Linked DNA regions of Oryzias latipes. The protein of the gene in region 1 interacts with the protein of each later gene in a biochemical or structural test. Links are inferred from orthologs where the notes say so. Each region holds a gene or a part of one and is shown in the gene's direction. Other genes may lie near its edges.

Region 1 (4,848 bases):
CAAATCCTTTCATAGACTTTGATTCAGTTTGTTTTCCTCATTTTCCGTTTTAGGTTGAGCTTCATTCGAAATAAAATATAATATCACATATTCATTTTTTTTACTAAATGTTTTGCTGAAATTTGAATATTAACATGACATATTGGAGATTCTCTAAATCTGTCCTCACGGACACGCGAGGTGCCGCGAACAGGTGACCTGACTGACGCACTGAGTCCAAACCCTCCGCGCGCGCAAACTCGGAGCAGACTCACCTGAGCAGAGAATCCGGCAGCAGCGTTTTAGCGTAACTGACTCCGGACTGGATGGAGAGCGGCGCCATGCTCGCGCCAGTCAACAAAGAGGAGGAGGAGGAGAGATGAAGGTCCGAAGGCACGCCAGCACTTTATGTAAAACGGCGGCTTGTCATTGGACAGAGAACCAATCAACCTCATGCGCATGCGTCAGGTTAACCTTCAGCAGATGACTCATGCCTGAAGATAAAGATGAATTGAGCTCCAAGAAGAAGAAAAAGATTCCTAATCTGAAACACACAGTTGTACCTCAGCCAGCAGCTTCCAACCCTTTACTCCAGCCTGTTTCAAACAGAAACTGCAGCTTCTTAAGAGGATTAATCAGACAGGAAACAAAGAGCTCTCTCATGGAGGTTTTCTTTTTACCAGTCTGCCCTCAGAGTGAAAATGTTTGACCTTCTTCAGATGATAAGACCAAACATGGTGTCCAACGTGCTGAAGTTTGAGTTCTGGGTAAAGAGGACTGAGCCTTTCTCTAATCACCCACAAAGACCTGCTGTTTCACCTATGACCATTTTTTTCTTTTTAAACAAATGCAGCAAATATTTAAAAGAAAGAAGGGAAAGAAGATCTGCAGTGAAATATTTCTGCAGTCAGAAACCTTTGGATCTATTTGTCTGACATCAGGATGGAGCAGAATGTGGCTTTACTTATTCAATTTACTTTAGTTACTGACGACTTACAGTCCATCTGTTCCTTCCGTTCACTGAACTCAAGCATCACACAAATCTATCTTGAAGGACCAAAGTTTTGAAGGTTTCAGGTGAAACAAACAGCCAGAGGAGCCAGGACTTGTAGATCATGAACCTTGTGTGATCATTGTGCCGTTTACATGGAATTCTTTAGTGATTTGTGCGCCAATAAAGTAATTTTAACGTGATATGTGCGCCGTAGACGTGATATAAAAGTTATACATGCGTGAAAAGTCTGTTAGACATACGTGGAATGGTCGTGCAAAGCCACAAAATTGCATATACATCTCACAAAAATCACACACAATTGCGTAAGAATAATTGCGTGTAAACTATGCAAAATACACGTAAACTGTGTAATTTTCAACAAACTAAAAATTTTGAACAGCTCAAAACCAAATTCCCACACAGACCTGTCGTCCAAAACTCTCAACGGTTCTGTACTGAGTTTGACCTTTCTAACCTTTATCATAACCACAACACACGGGAATGCACCTGTGTCTCTGAAGGACCACAGCTGACATTTTTAATCATCTATTAGACATGAGGAGCAGATCATTTGCTGTTCAACTAAACTTGTTAGTTCTGAGAGGGTTTTATAACTTACTGAGTCTGTTAATTAGATTTGGGATTTCATTACTGCTGCAGGCTATTAAAGTTTGACATTGTGTTTATTTATTTTTTGACAATCAGTTCAACTTTTGACCTATTCCTTTTCTTCCTGTGTGAGAAGTTTTTTTTGTTAATTTCTTTTAAGATTTTTAACATTTTTAGACTTGATTTTATCTTTATTTTTTTGTTTGTTGATGTGGGCGTAGGTGTGTATAAATTTTGCAACATTATTTTTAACCATTGACTATATAGTCACACTTTTAATGCACTTTGAGCTGCATACAGTGCTGTATAAATAAAGATTGATTTATCCTTTTAATACCAAGTCTAATTCGTTTCAGTTTTTACAACAACTTTCGAATATTCTGGATTTATAAGTTATGTATCTGTTCAGACAGGAACTATTATTGTTTTGTTTCCGGGGAACATTTTACGCAGACGGACCTAACCAAGACAGAGCGCTTTAATGGTTTCCCGCCTGCGTTTGATGCGCAGAAGCTGTGTTTAGCAGAAAACCTCAGTATTTGGTCTCAGAGTCCAGATGAAGTTTCGGGGGAAGATCGTGGACGTGGCGTGTCTGAACCACTTCACCCGTGAGTCACTTCAAACAGCAAAAAAAAAAAAAAAAAAAAACTACCGAAAACTGAGAGCCGACGATGTCACATTCAGTTATCTACGAGCCACTTTCATTCACATTATAAATTTCGTATGTGTAAAAATTCACTTCAATCTGATCAGCAAATAAATCTAATATGATTCTCTTAAATGACGACTTTGAAAAACTTAAAACGTTTGTCGTGTCGCGTTGCATGTTGGGAATAGGAGTTCTGTAAATATATTTTTAAAGGGCTTTTAACCTCAGGTGTGCATTTCTGTTGTTTCTGTACCTGAAATGTATGAGTAAGCCCTTCAATTATGTTCAATTAAATTATTTTTGACGAACATTTTAAAATATTTTAACATTTAATTGATAATGTGACCAATAATAGCAACCAGAGACTGACTTTAGAAACTAGTAGTTTGAAACAAACGAAAATGTATTAAAAGAGAAAACTGCAGTTGGCTTAAACAACCTGACTTCACTTATCTGGTAAACCCAGTGAGTGCAGATATAAAAAAATACTAAATAAACATAAATAAATGTGCCTGTTTTGAGGAGAAATGTGTTAATCTGCCGTATTATTATCGAATAATTGGTGTTATTTGGTAAAGGAAATCTCATTTTGCTGTCCAACTGTTGACTGAAAACATCCAGTAACAGGGCTCCAGATTAACTTTTTTCACTAGGAGCACTGTTGCCCCCAACTGAAAATTTTAGGGCCACAACCAGAAAATTTAGGGGCGCATATTGTAAATCAACATGCTAACCAAATCTATTAATTTCCACTGTATTACTAATAAATACTTTTATAATAGATGCCGAAATTACAACGTGCTGTTTCAAATTCAGTGTCATATTTTATTCTGCACTTTTGAAGATGCAACAAGGTAAACTGACAGCACCATCGCTGTCATGACAGTACAAATAGTAAACAAAATACCATACATTAAAAAAAAGTTTTTAGTAACAAGTGAATACCGTAGTAACCTTTCGGTCATTTCACAGTTTCAAACAATACTTAAATGTATGTAAACATTAGGGGATGGAAATTCATGTTGGCGACACCAAATAGGTGCAGCCAAGATGCACAATAATTTGAGATCACCCAGATGGACGCAACGCTGCACAGATCACCTGGTGTGAGACATATTTTTGTTTTTCCTCAACATCACCTGTCAATCAAAACAAAAATATCACCAGAAAGGGGCGGAAGCAAGACCTCAACCTGAGCGAACGCAGCTAGAAATTTAGCACTGAACTGACTGAAAGCTGCCCTACAGACTACAAAACGATGCATTATGGGACATGCTTCCTGATGGGTTTTTTGTAGTTCACTGATCAATTAAAATAATTTAAAATACCAACTGATTAAAAAAAGCTACATACATTCCAAAACATTAAAATAATTATAAAAGATGTAATATCACAGATCATACTTAAGGGGAGAGGCATGTTAAAACTAAATTGAATGTTAAGGACTACAACTTCCTGCTCTCCTTCAGTCTCGCTGCAGCTTCGCCTTCATGCCCCCCCCCCCCCCCCCCCCCCCCAGGGCGCTGGTTTATCGTAAACCCGACTATTGTTGCATTTTCCACACGTGTTTTAAGTGCGTCTAAGACTAAATCGTCTCATTGTTTATTTCATTGCTCATTTCATTGATCATTGACGTGCCCCTTCCACGTTTAATGTATAAAAAATACGGAGGGTGGGGGAGGCAAATTTACTGGTAGATATCTAGCACATGCTAGATGTAAAATTCAGTCGCACACTCTCAAATTTTGGTCGCAAAATGCAACCAAATGGTCGCAGTCTGGAGCCCTGAGTAACAGGAAATGGTGAACATGTGGAGTAAACGGGTTCAGTGTGTGCTCAGGACTGACAGTGGTTGCTAACTTCCTCCAGGAGTCGTCACCACCATCTCCAAGCTGACCAAGACGTGCGTGCTGCGGCTCAACCCGGACAACCTTTTCTTTGTCCTGTCAGGGAAAGTGGCCAATGGAGGAGTCAGCATGTGGTGTGAGCTGTCACAGGTGAGCAACGCCACCTTTTGGTTTGGATTTGGCATTGCAGGAAGAATATTTTAAGCAATTTTAAACCTACTGCAGGCTAACTTCTTCGACGAGTACCAGATGGAGGGCGTTTCTCCAGAGAACAATGAGATTTGTCTGGAGTTGGCTCCAGAGAACCTGTCCAGAGCCCTGAAGACGATCCAGAATGCCAAATCTGTTAAAGTCAAACTTACCAAGAAGCATTGCCCCTGTCTGACTGTCTGCGCCGAGCTGGTAAGTCCTGCTCTGAGCACTTGACCCCTCAGCTTAGGAGAAACTGTCTTCAGGGAAGATCTGTGATTTTCATAAAAGCTTACTAACAATCTCCCAGTCTCAGGGTTCAGGTTGGTTCTTCTGGGTTTAGATAATTTTACGGTATAGATGATCTCGGTTCTCATAATCATGATATCCCATTGGGTTTATTTGAAGCTTTGAGCAACACCTGCTGTCCACACTTGTGAGCATTCTGTTCTCTGTTTTGGCCCGGATCTTGGCGTTTGGGCCGCTCATCAGAACCGTGACTGGCTGACGTGGATCAGTGGGATGTGAGCTAGCTGCTACCTTGAGCTGCATTCACACCAAACATCTTTTCACGCAGCGAC
Region 2 (4,914 bases), about 8.2 Mb from region 1:
CGCAACACTGTGAATAATTATATTTGGATATATAGAAAGACAATTTCAAACTCAATGTTTTTAATACATGTCCTCCATCATAATAAAAATGCCCCAAAGAAAATGTCCAAAACACCAAAAACAAACACAAACACTTCTGTCCTGTTGTTATAGGCAACTATTATTTAAATACACTCTTATTAGACAGTATTAGTTCTTTATTTAGTCTTTGTTGTTATTTTTAAGAGTAGATATTCTATATTTTCCTTTTTTATTGATAAAGCTAATGGTAGCTTTCATTTTACCAAAATAAAACTATATATATATATATATATATATATATATATATATATATATCATTTTTTAGCAATTTTGAAACTATGTTGCCCCTCGTGTGAATTTAAAAGTTTTCGAATTACCATTTTACTTTAGACTATCATGTTGTACCGATATTATAAAGAAAGTAACAAGAAAGTAATTCTGAGACAGTAATATTGGAAGGTTTTGGGATTACTTTTGAAGAGCAATAACAAGTAATCTGTACTGGATTAGAGTTTGGAAATAACTTGTTCAACACAGTTTATAATTGCTTTTTAAGATATAGATGACCAGCATGGTTTCATGACCACAATCCCATGTCAAACCTGCTCCTGTCAGGCCACATTCCTGACATTTACTGCAAAGAATATGGATTTTTTTTCTTTATTGGTAAATAATTAATATTTTTTTTAAATCTCCCAAAGCGAGGCTTTTGTCAGATAGATCATCATGTCACTGGAAAGACCTTAGCTGTCATCTGAATCAGGACAATAGCAAAAACAGACATTTAGAGCAGGCAAATCAGTCACTCTTTGGAGGAGATGTAAACTAGATTAGAAGCAGAATAACTGGATTCATCTAACAAACAGTGATTAAAGCAGTAAGGCCAAAATCTGAGTAGTCTTGTTGTTTCAATCAGTGTCCCTTAACGTGACTATAAGAGAAAAGGATCTTATCGACCCTCTGAGCTAAACATTTCTGTTCAAAAACAACCCAAGAATGCTGTAAACATCCGAATCGCTCATCTCACTGCCGTGTCACCTCAATGCCGATGGTGAAGAGCCGACTTTCTGTCCGTCAGACTCCGTGGACTTCAGGCCCCGACAGTCTTCTCTGCTCCGGTATGCGCCGACGGTGGAGCTCACTGCAATTAAGGCACAACCTAACGGCTAAACATGTCGGAAACCCTCGATAAAGTGTACTGGCGGGTTAGACATTCGGGTCGATCATATCCGGGTACATTTAGTGCCACATTGGTCGGCGGAAACAAAAAAGAAGGACTCGGCAACACGTCACCTTAAAAATAAAAATAACGAGTCCCTTTAGTTTTCCGGAGTGGGCGGAGAAACGAAAAATACACCTGCAACATATTTGGTACGTCAAAAGTTGACATAAAAATATATTTAAAAGCAGTACATTTTTAGGGGGTTCTTTTATAACGACTCCGAATGATGAATTTGGACGTTTTGGCTAATATTACAACGACTGAATAATTTTTTTTATGTTTGTCTGATAGACCGGATTTCCTGTAACCTCAATCAACCAATCAGGTGCGTTTTTGTGACTTCTGCGCTTTCGCACAAGCCAGACTAATCGAACCGGCAACATCGATGAGGACACTCACAGTTCCTTTTCGGGATTCTGTCCTCGATAATTTGACCGGTAATGCCTGCCATTTGATTTCCCGCGAAACACACACAGTTCCTCCCGCCCTCTTTGGTCGTTGGTTATTCCACGGTGCTATTGCTAACAGGTAGGCAAGAAAACGTTTACTTTTATATCATTCACTTGTTTACGTCGTTATTAGTCATTTCAATTTAAAATGACCATGTCGACTTCCTGTATACCCGTCAGTCGCAGAGTACCAATGCAAGCTTAGCTAGGCCCAGGGCGAATGCATCCTACCGACTAGTACAGTAGTACCAGCGGTTACCGCTATGTTACTTAGATTTAAAGGCTCCATACAAACCTGTCGTAAACACTATTTTTCGGGTTCACATTGAGTCCTCTGTGCTTCCAATGGGTTAAGATGATGTGAACAGTTAATCACCGCCTGCAGAAGTGCCCACAACTTTGGAATGTGTTGACTGCCATGATGATAATGTTTTTGTGCTGAAAACTTGAATAAAGTGCTGTTTTTCCTTCAGATATCATCCAATAATGGGAATACACGGACTTGCCAAACTGATTGCTGACCATGCCCCTTCTGCAATCAAAGAGCAAGACATTAAGAGCTACTTTGGTAACTGCACATGTTCTTGTTTATTTATGCAAGCAACTTGCAAAAAATAATTAATTTGTTCCCTCAAATTAATAATTTGTGGCCACAAATTAAAGCTTTGTGCAGTCACATTTTCATTTTTGTGGTCAGAATTTAGTAGTTTGTGACCATAAACTTGTAATTTAATATCATCAGTTGTTACTACTAATTTGTGCTTACAAATACTAAATCGTCACCCAAAAATGCCAAGAACAAGCTAAATATGGCAGCAAAATACGAATTTGTTTGCACCAAGTGCTACTTTGTGCCAATAACATGCTGATTCTGGCTGCAAATTATTAATTTGTGTGCACTAAAGGCTACCTTGTATGCACAAAATGTATGCACACTAAATGCGTATTCAGAAGTTATTAATGTGAGTGAACAGTTTTTATTTTTTTTTGTCATTTCTAGGGCTCTAGTTTTGAAATCAATCACTGTATATTTGCTTGATGCTGAATTCTCTTCTTAGGCAGGAAAATTGCCATCGATGCCTCCATGTGCATGTACCAGTTCCTGATTGCTGTGAGACAGGATGGTAATGTTCTACAGAATGAAGATGGGGAAACAACAAGGTACAGATGAAGCAACACACACTAGGAAAACAGGGAATGGGGCGTTTATGAATTACTGCTGCAGTTTTTCTTTTATTAGATCTAAAGTGTTAAATGACTGTGTTTACTTTTCACAGCCACCTAATGGGAATGTTCTACCGAACGATCCGCATGCTGGAGCATGGGATCAAGCCGGTGTACGTTTTTGATGGGAAGCCTCCACAGCTCAAATCATCAGAGGTCAGTGCTGTCTTGAAGATCTTCTGCAGATTTTTATTACCATTTAAGGAGCATAGATGATATTGCATGACACAAATTAATTTGCATCTTGTGTATTTTTAACACCTTTTTTTTAAAAATGCATATCATGTAGCTTGAGAAGAGAGGAGAAAGGAGGGCAGAAGCTGAGAAGTTGCTTGCTCAAGCACAGGAAATGGGTAAAAAAAAAATTCATTTCTGCCACATTCTTCTTTATTTTCTTGATTGGATTGCAGGAATGAAAGAACATGATTATGTATTTTATCTGATCAGATTAATAATGTCCTCTTTGTCTTTTAAAAATCAGGAGAACAAGAAAATGTAGAAAAATTCACCAAACGTCTGGTTAAAGTGACTAAGCAGCATAATGACGAATGCAAAAAGCTGCTATCCCTGATGGGCGTTCCTTACATTGAGGTATCATACTTTTCCTTTTGCTATATTTGCTGTATTTTAACATTTGTTACCATATATTTTAGTTTTGCTTATGTACGCTGGATCTAAGAGTACAGAAATATTAAACACTTATTGAATATATTTTCAGACACATTCCTCTGTGACACAGCATGGTACAACCATTTTTTTCAGGCTCCATGTGAGGCTGAAGCCAGCTGTGCTGCTTTAGTTAAAGAAGGGAAGGTCTTTGCCACGGCAACAGAAGACATGGACGGCCTGACCTTTGGGACAAACGTGCTGCTCAGACATCTCACTGCCAGCGAAGCCAAGTATGTCCTGCTGCTTCATGTTCCATGCATGCTCAAAAAGGAGTGGAAAGAACTATTAACCAAAGATGTTCCTGCTTGTTTCAGAAAGCTTCCCATTCAAGAGTTCCACTTTAATCGCATCTTGCAGGACATGGACCTGACCAAAGAGCAGGTACATTTCTCTGTTTTAAATCATTTCTATGATTGTACAGATAAAGCTCCTTATAAAACCATCCGGAAGCCTTCACTTTGACAGCGTTCTCTGCATTTCAGTTCATCGATCTGTGTATTCTGCTGGGTTGCGACTACTGTGGCACCATCAAGGGAATTGGCCCCAAGAGAGCCGTGGACCTGATCCGACAGCACGGCTGCATCGAGGAGATCCTAGAAAACATCGATTCAAAGGTGAGGTTTCAAAGCTGCAGCTGCAGCTGCTCTCGAAGCATCAACCTCTGATTCCATCTACCCTGCTTGTCTCTTTGCAGAAACACTCGGCCCCAGAGGACTGGCTGTATAAAGAGGCCAGGGGTCTGTTTCTGAAGCCGGAGGTGGTGGATTGTTCCTCGGTGGAGCTGAAGTGGAACGAGCCTGATGAGGAGGGCCTGGTCCAGTTCATGTGCAACGAGAAACAGTTCAGGTGAAAGAGTTTTTTTGCACACTCTCATCCCCGTCAAACCTGCCGTACTATGTTTGACCTCTAGTTTGTGGGTCTTTTAGTGTTTGCTTAACTTTTAGGAGATCAGATTTAATCTGAGCTTTCCGAGATGGAATGAAATAAAGCGTTCATTGTTTTTTGTCTGTTTTTTTGTGCGTGCAGTGAGGACAGAATCCGTAACGGTTGTAAGAAGATTGTAAAAAGCAGACAGGGCAGCACACAGGGAAGACTGGACTCTTTCTTCACCGTCACTGGATCCCTGTCCTCCAAACGAAAGGTACGAAGCCAAAAGTCCTTCTGAACGACAAACTCAATGTGAAGAAAATACTTTTTTTGATTTTCAGTGAACCATTTTCTAAACAAATTGCTTTTATTTTTGTTGTAGGAGCCAGAAACAAAAGGACCAGCAAAGAAAAAGCAGAAAACTGGAGCAACACCTGGAAAATTCAAGAAGGCCAAATAAGC
Region 3 (4,036 bases), on another chromosome or scaffold:
ATGGTGACATTTTCCTCAGGCAGACGGGTTACTGTTCAATTTTAGGAAACGTGCCACAACATTGCCTCAGACTTGTGTTCCTGTCACACAAGAATCTGTTTGCACACTGGCAGCAAAAGTCACAACCGTGTGGAAGGAAAAAAAAAGACAAACAGCTGACCTGAGCAGTCTGAGACACGGGAGCCTGGTTCTCCTTGCCTTGTATTTGCTTTGCAGGCTCTGACTCTAGAGCACATGTGTTCATTTTGCCCAGCCACTGGATGTTGGTGAGGCTGTCATCCAAAGGGCCGCTATTCCCATCTTTACTCACTGAAAAAAAATTATATATATATATTGAAGCAGGTATTTCAGTTAAATGTAGCATTTCTGACATAAAATTTTAAACTCTGTGCAAATTCCTTACAGGGTTTAATGCCAGTCACATCAAGGGATGTGTGAGTGCTTTCTTTTGTTGCTGGTTCTTGAGATGGGATTTGTGTGGAAACAGCATCTCCTCCAGAAGTAGCAGTCTCACAGAAAGATCCGGCTTGATCCTGATTGCCATTGTCACTCAGGAGAATAAACTTGCTCGGACCCTGAACTCCGCTGTCTTTGCCTTTAGCGGCGAGGACACTAATTACACTCTGAACGTCTGTAGCTTTGGGAATGACCACAACCTGAGTGTCTGACAGGGATGGGTGGCCTATAAAGCGGACCCCGTCTGGGAAGCACGAACTGTCGCTGGAATTTGACGGCTCTTTGGAGCCACCGGACTGCCTGGATGGGTCTGCTGGGGTGGGTTCCTTTTGTTGAAAAGGTAACTTGCGCCTTTTGAGGATCAGGGGTCTCCTTGGGCTCCGTCTCATGGTTCAAATCATCCAAAGGGCCTTAGGTGTTCAATGGAAATCTGTGGGGAGGGGGAAAAGGTCTTGAGCTACAGTTATGGCTCAAAAAGTACTCAGAAGTTAAACACCTTATCAATACATTACGTTACAACGTTTAAATACTGACTTTAACGATAACCCCGAACTAGTGAGCCTGAAAACAACATACCTGCTAATAGAATACGAAGTAATCGGTCAAAAATGATGTTTCAATCCTATGATATCGTCTTCAAACTTAAAGAAACCCGATTATTGCTGTCTGTTTGCTGCAAAAGTCCCAACAGTCCCTCGCTCGAAAGTGAAGATTTTATTCGGTTCCCTTGGCGACATGCCAGTCGTTATAATTTTCAGTTGATGATAGGTTTAATTTCAATAACGTCTATCTAGTGGATATTCAGTGCAACATATATTTACATGTTAACACAATGCAATCAATAAAACAAAAAATAAATTCAAAAAATAACATGCGCCTAGCCAATGTCCCGATTAGCGTATAGTTTCCTTTATTTACAGCTAGGCTAAGCTAGCTATGCTAAAGCTGTTTGACGATGGAGGAAACAAGTGGAAAAATGAAGCCAGACCTTCACATTACTGAATTACTGCAGCGTTTCATTCAATTCCAGGCTTGGTTCGGCTTTCAATTCCACTTGTCGGATCAAAGAAAACATTTAAAATATTCACAAAACCGACGTATTTAGTAGTAATTAGATACAAAAAGTCAATCCATAAACAGTTTTGAATTTTGGCGCTGTGGGCGCTGCCCCGACTGTCACTTTGATCACATGGTAACAATGGACCAATAGTAAACGCAGAAAAAAACACTGGGCGGCTCAATAGGTGGCGCTGTGGGCCGCAGCTCGAGATGGCCAGCCGCTAACCCGAAGAAGACAAAGAAAAAATCCGGGAAATTAAAAGTAACAACAACACGGACAAGCTAAGATAAAAAGGTCTGAATGAACCGAAAAATAAGGGAACGTTTTTATTCCGTATTCCGTACATGGACACATAATCACGGAAAAAGCACAATATGGTAAGTAAAGAACGCGTTTCAAAAGTAAACACTTGAATGCGAATATGTAAACAGCCTCGATCTACGACTAAAGCTATGTGTATTGTTAACAAGATTACTCGATCGGATTTGTCTCTTGTTTGTTTTGAACAGATGCTTAAGATTGATTTAAATTGATGCCCCGGAAAGCGGCAAAGACAGACAAGCCTGCACTGCAATTCCTGGAGCGACCTGTGAGTGGCGCCAGACTTCAAAATGTGCCTGAAGTCAGAGCTGCTCTCAATCCCAGAGAGTTTTTCTCCAAGACACACAGCTCTTCAGCTCTCAGTTCCTGGGTAAAAGTCTTTTAAATATATAAAAATATATAAAACATTACAAATATAGATTTAGTTGATTAGATAACTGGCAAAAAAGTCTACTTAACTATAAATTTCCCAACCTTTCAGGTTCAACCCCAGTTTGACATCTCAGCTACACCTCCATTTAGACGAGGAAGAAGAAATTGTCAGTCCGTCACAAGGATTCTTGACACGTGCAACGAGCTGTCCAGGAAACACAAAGTGTGCAAATACCCATCGTTATTATTTCTTAGGGCGGAGAGAGACAAGTCCCATAATCCAAGTGGACAGCGCACAAAGAAAGCGGCAGAGGTGACGTCAATGCCTGAAGATCAACCACAGGGATCATGTCAAAGCAATAGGACAGTTTTACCTGCACCTAAGAGACGAAGAAATCCTCAAAAATCTTTAAACAGAGCTCCATCTCACAGTGAATATTTGCACCAACCTGAAAATCAGTTAATAGAGGTAACGGAGGAAAGCAGAACTCCACCCGGTGGGTGTAGTAGCCCTAGACTTGGCAATGTTGACCCGCCTCCTGAAGTGGACACTCCAACAATGAAGCAGAACAGTTGCCCCATGTCTCCCCCTGTTTGTTCACTGCTGGCTGATCCCTCCTCCCCGCAGTGTCATCTTCATCCTAATGTTTTGGTCTCCGACACACCAGAGAGGGACTATGGGGTGAAGGTGACGTGGAGGAGGAGAAAGGGATTGATGATCATATTAAAGGAAAGGGGCCTCCTCGATTAGTCACTTAAGTTTATTCTATCATAAATCTTTTAATTTTTGTAAAAAATCCTTTTTCATTTCTCTTGCACACCCAAATAATATTATTTTTTCCTGATGTTGCCTGACAAGAATCAAATGAAAAATAAATGAATTTGACATCTGATTAATAATTATTTATTTTTCTAAGTTTTGAACACATATTAGAAATTTAAGTCATACTGGATGGTCATTTGAAGCCCATTTCGTTTTAGAGAAAACCTTTTATTGTTCCCACCTTTTCCCCAGATGTAAACCAATTAGATTCCTTCTAGGAAAACAGCCGGCCAATAGGAGTGCTCGTTATTGGTCCGCTTGGTTGCCAAGGCAGAGTATTCATCCGCAGCTCCTGCGTCCGCAAAAAGCGTTTTTCTTCGAGGAGCCTTTTCCTTAGTAACCGTGCATAAACATGAGTTATTACAGCATAAGGTAAGAGTAAAGCCTTGAAAATACATCCTTACTTATTCACGGACTTCTTTGGTCTTCAGTTTTGTCTATTGTGGCGTGAAAATCCCGCTCGTGTCCGTGGAATTGTGTTGGGAAAACTTAAGTGTCGCCTTTAACTTTGATAAAACGCGGCATCGCAAACATCGGAAAACGGGCTGAAGCAGCTAACGTTAGCTTCTAACGGTTGTACGGTAGCTTTGATATTCAACTCCTGATAATTATAGAATTGATGACAATTAACTGAGAATGTTTTTAGTTTGATTTTTTTAGTGAGTTGCGACTTAACGGTTGTTTGGAAGAAGGACCGGTCAGGGAAAGTTATAAATCCCAGCGTTTGTTTTCTGTGTGTTTGGCTTGTTTTCAAGCGAACGCATTTACAACCACAGTTATAGGAACATACCAGCTTCATGTAAATATTACGTGTAAAATAAATTCTCATCTATCATTTTGAGGTGTTTTTGGCGGAAAATGCCCCCCCCCTCGCCTAAGTAAAAATATTTAATTTTTGCATATTTGAACAGATTATTATAATATTTGAGTTAAACCCTACGCGCATGCTCAATTGGATGTCAGATATTTTTTTAATCATGGATTTTTATACAGTCCAAACTAAA

What was found. The genes of interacting proteins can lie anywhere in the genome.
Region 2: the proteins of hus1 (region 1) and fen1 form a complex in vitro, tested with the Homo sapiens proteins (2 studies listed by BioGRID). The link is inferred for Oryzias latipes from reciprocal best matches to the Homo sapiens genes HUS1 and FEN1.
Region 3: the proteins of hus1 (region 1) and rhno1 form a complex in vitro, tested with the Homo sapiens proteins (2 studies listed by BioGRID). The link is inferred for Oryzias latipes from reciprocal best matches to the Homo sapiens genes HUS1 and RHNO1.

What each region holds. Positions count from the first base shown.
Region 1 is NC_019878.2:4,319,623-4,324,470, forward strand, and holds the start of hus1 (checkpoint protein HUS1), read left to right. Parts: upstream 1-1,851; 5' UTR 1,852-2,138; coding exon 2,139-2,190; intron 2,191-4,100; coding exon 4,101-4,228; intron 4,229-4,303; coding exon 4,304-4,480; intron 4,481-4,848. Other genes in the region: cell death activator CIDE-A, read right to left, coding at 255-322. UniProt on the Homo sapiens protein: Component of the 9-1-1 cell-cycle checkpoint response complex that plays a major role in DNA repair. The 9-1-1 complex is recruited to DNA lesion upon damage by the RAD17-replication factor C (RFC) clamp loader complex.
Region 2 is NC_019878.2:12,532,951-12,537,864, reverse strand, and holds the start of fen1 (flap endonuclease 1), read left to right. Parts: upstream 1-1,659; 5' UTR 1,660-1,771; intron 1,772-2,165; 5' UTR 2,166-2,178; coding exon 2,179-2,260; intron 2,261-2,750; coding exon 2,751-2,853; intron 2,854-2,969; coding exon 2,970-3,072; intron 3,073-3,205; coding exon 3,206-3,269; intron 3,270-3,397; coding exon 3,398-3,507; intron 3,508-3,678; coding exon 3,679-3,815; intron 3,816-3,899; coding exon 3,900-3,966; intron 3,967-4,067; coding exon 4,068-4,199; intron 4,200-4,279; coding exon 4,280-4,431; intron 4,432-4,611; coding exon 4,612-4,726; intron 4,727-4,834; coding exon 4,835-4,912; 3' UTR 4,913-4,914. UniProt on the Homo sapiens protein: Structure-specific nuclease with 5'-flap endonuclease and 5'-3' exonuclease activities involved in DNA replication and repair.
Region 3 is NC_019881.2:18,846,385-18,850,420, reverse strand, and holds rhno1 (RAD9, HUS1, RAD1-interacting nuclear orphan protein 1), read left to right. Parts: upstream 1-1,729; 5' UTR 1,730-1,893; intron 1,894-2,025; 5' UTR 2,026-2,048; coding exon 2,049-2,207; intron 2,208-2,318; coding exon 2,319-2,960; 3' UTR 2,961-3,081; downstream 3,082-4,036. Other genes in the region: foxm1 (forkhead box protein M1), read right to left, coding at 161-309, 404-845. UniProt on the Homo sapiens protein: Involved in microhomology-mediated end-joining (MMEJ) DNA repair by promoting recruitment of polymerase theta (POLQ) to DNA damage sites during mitosis.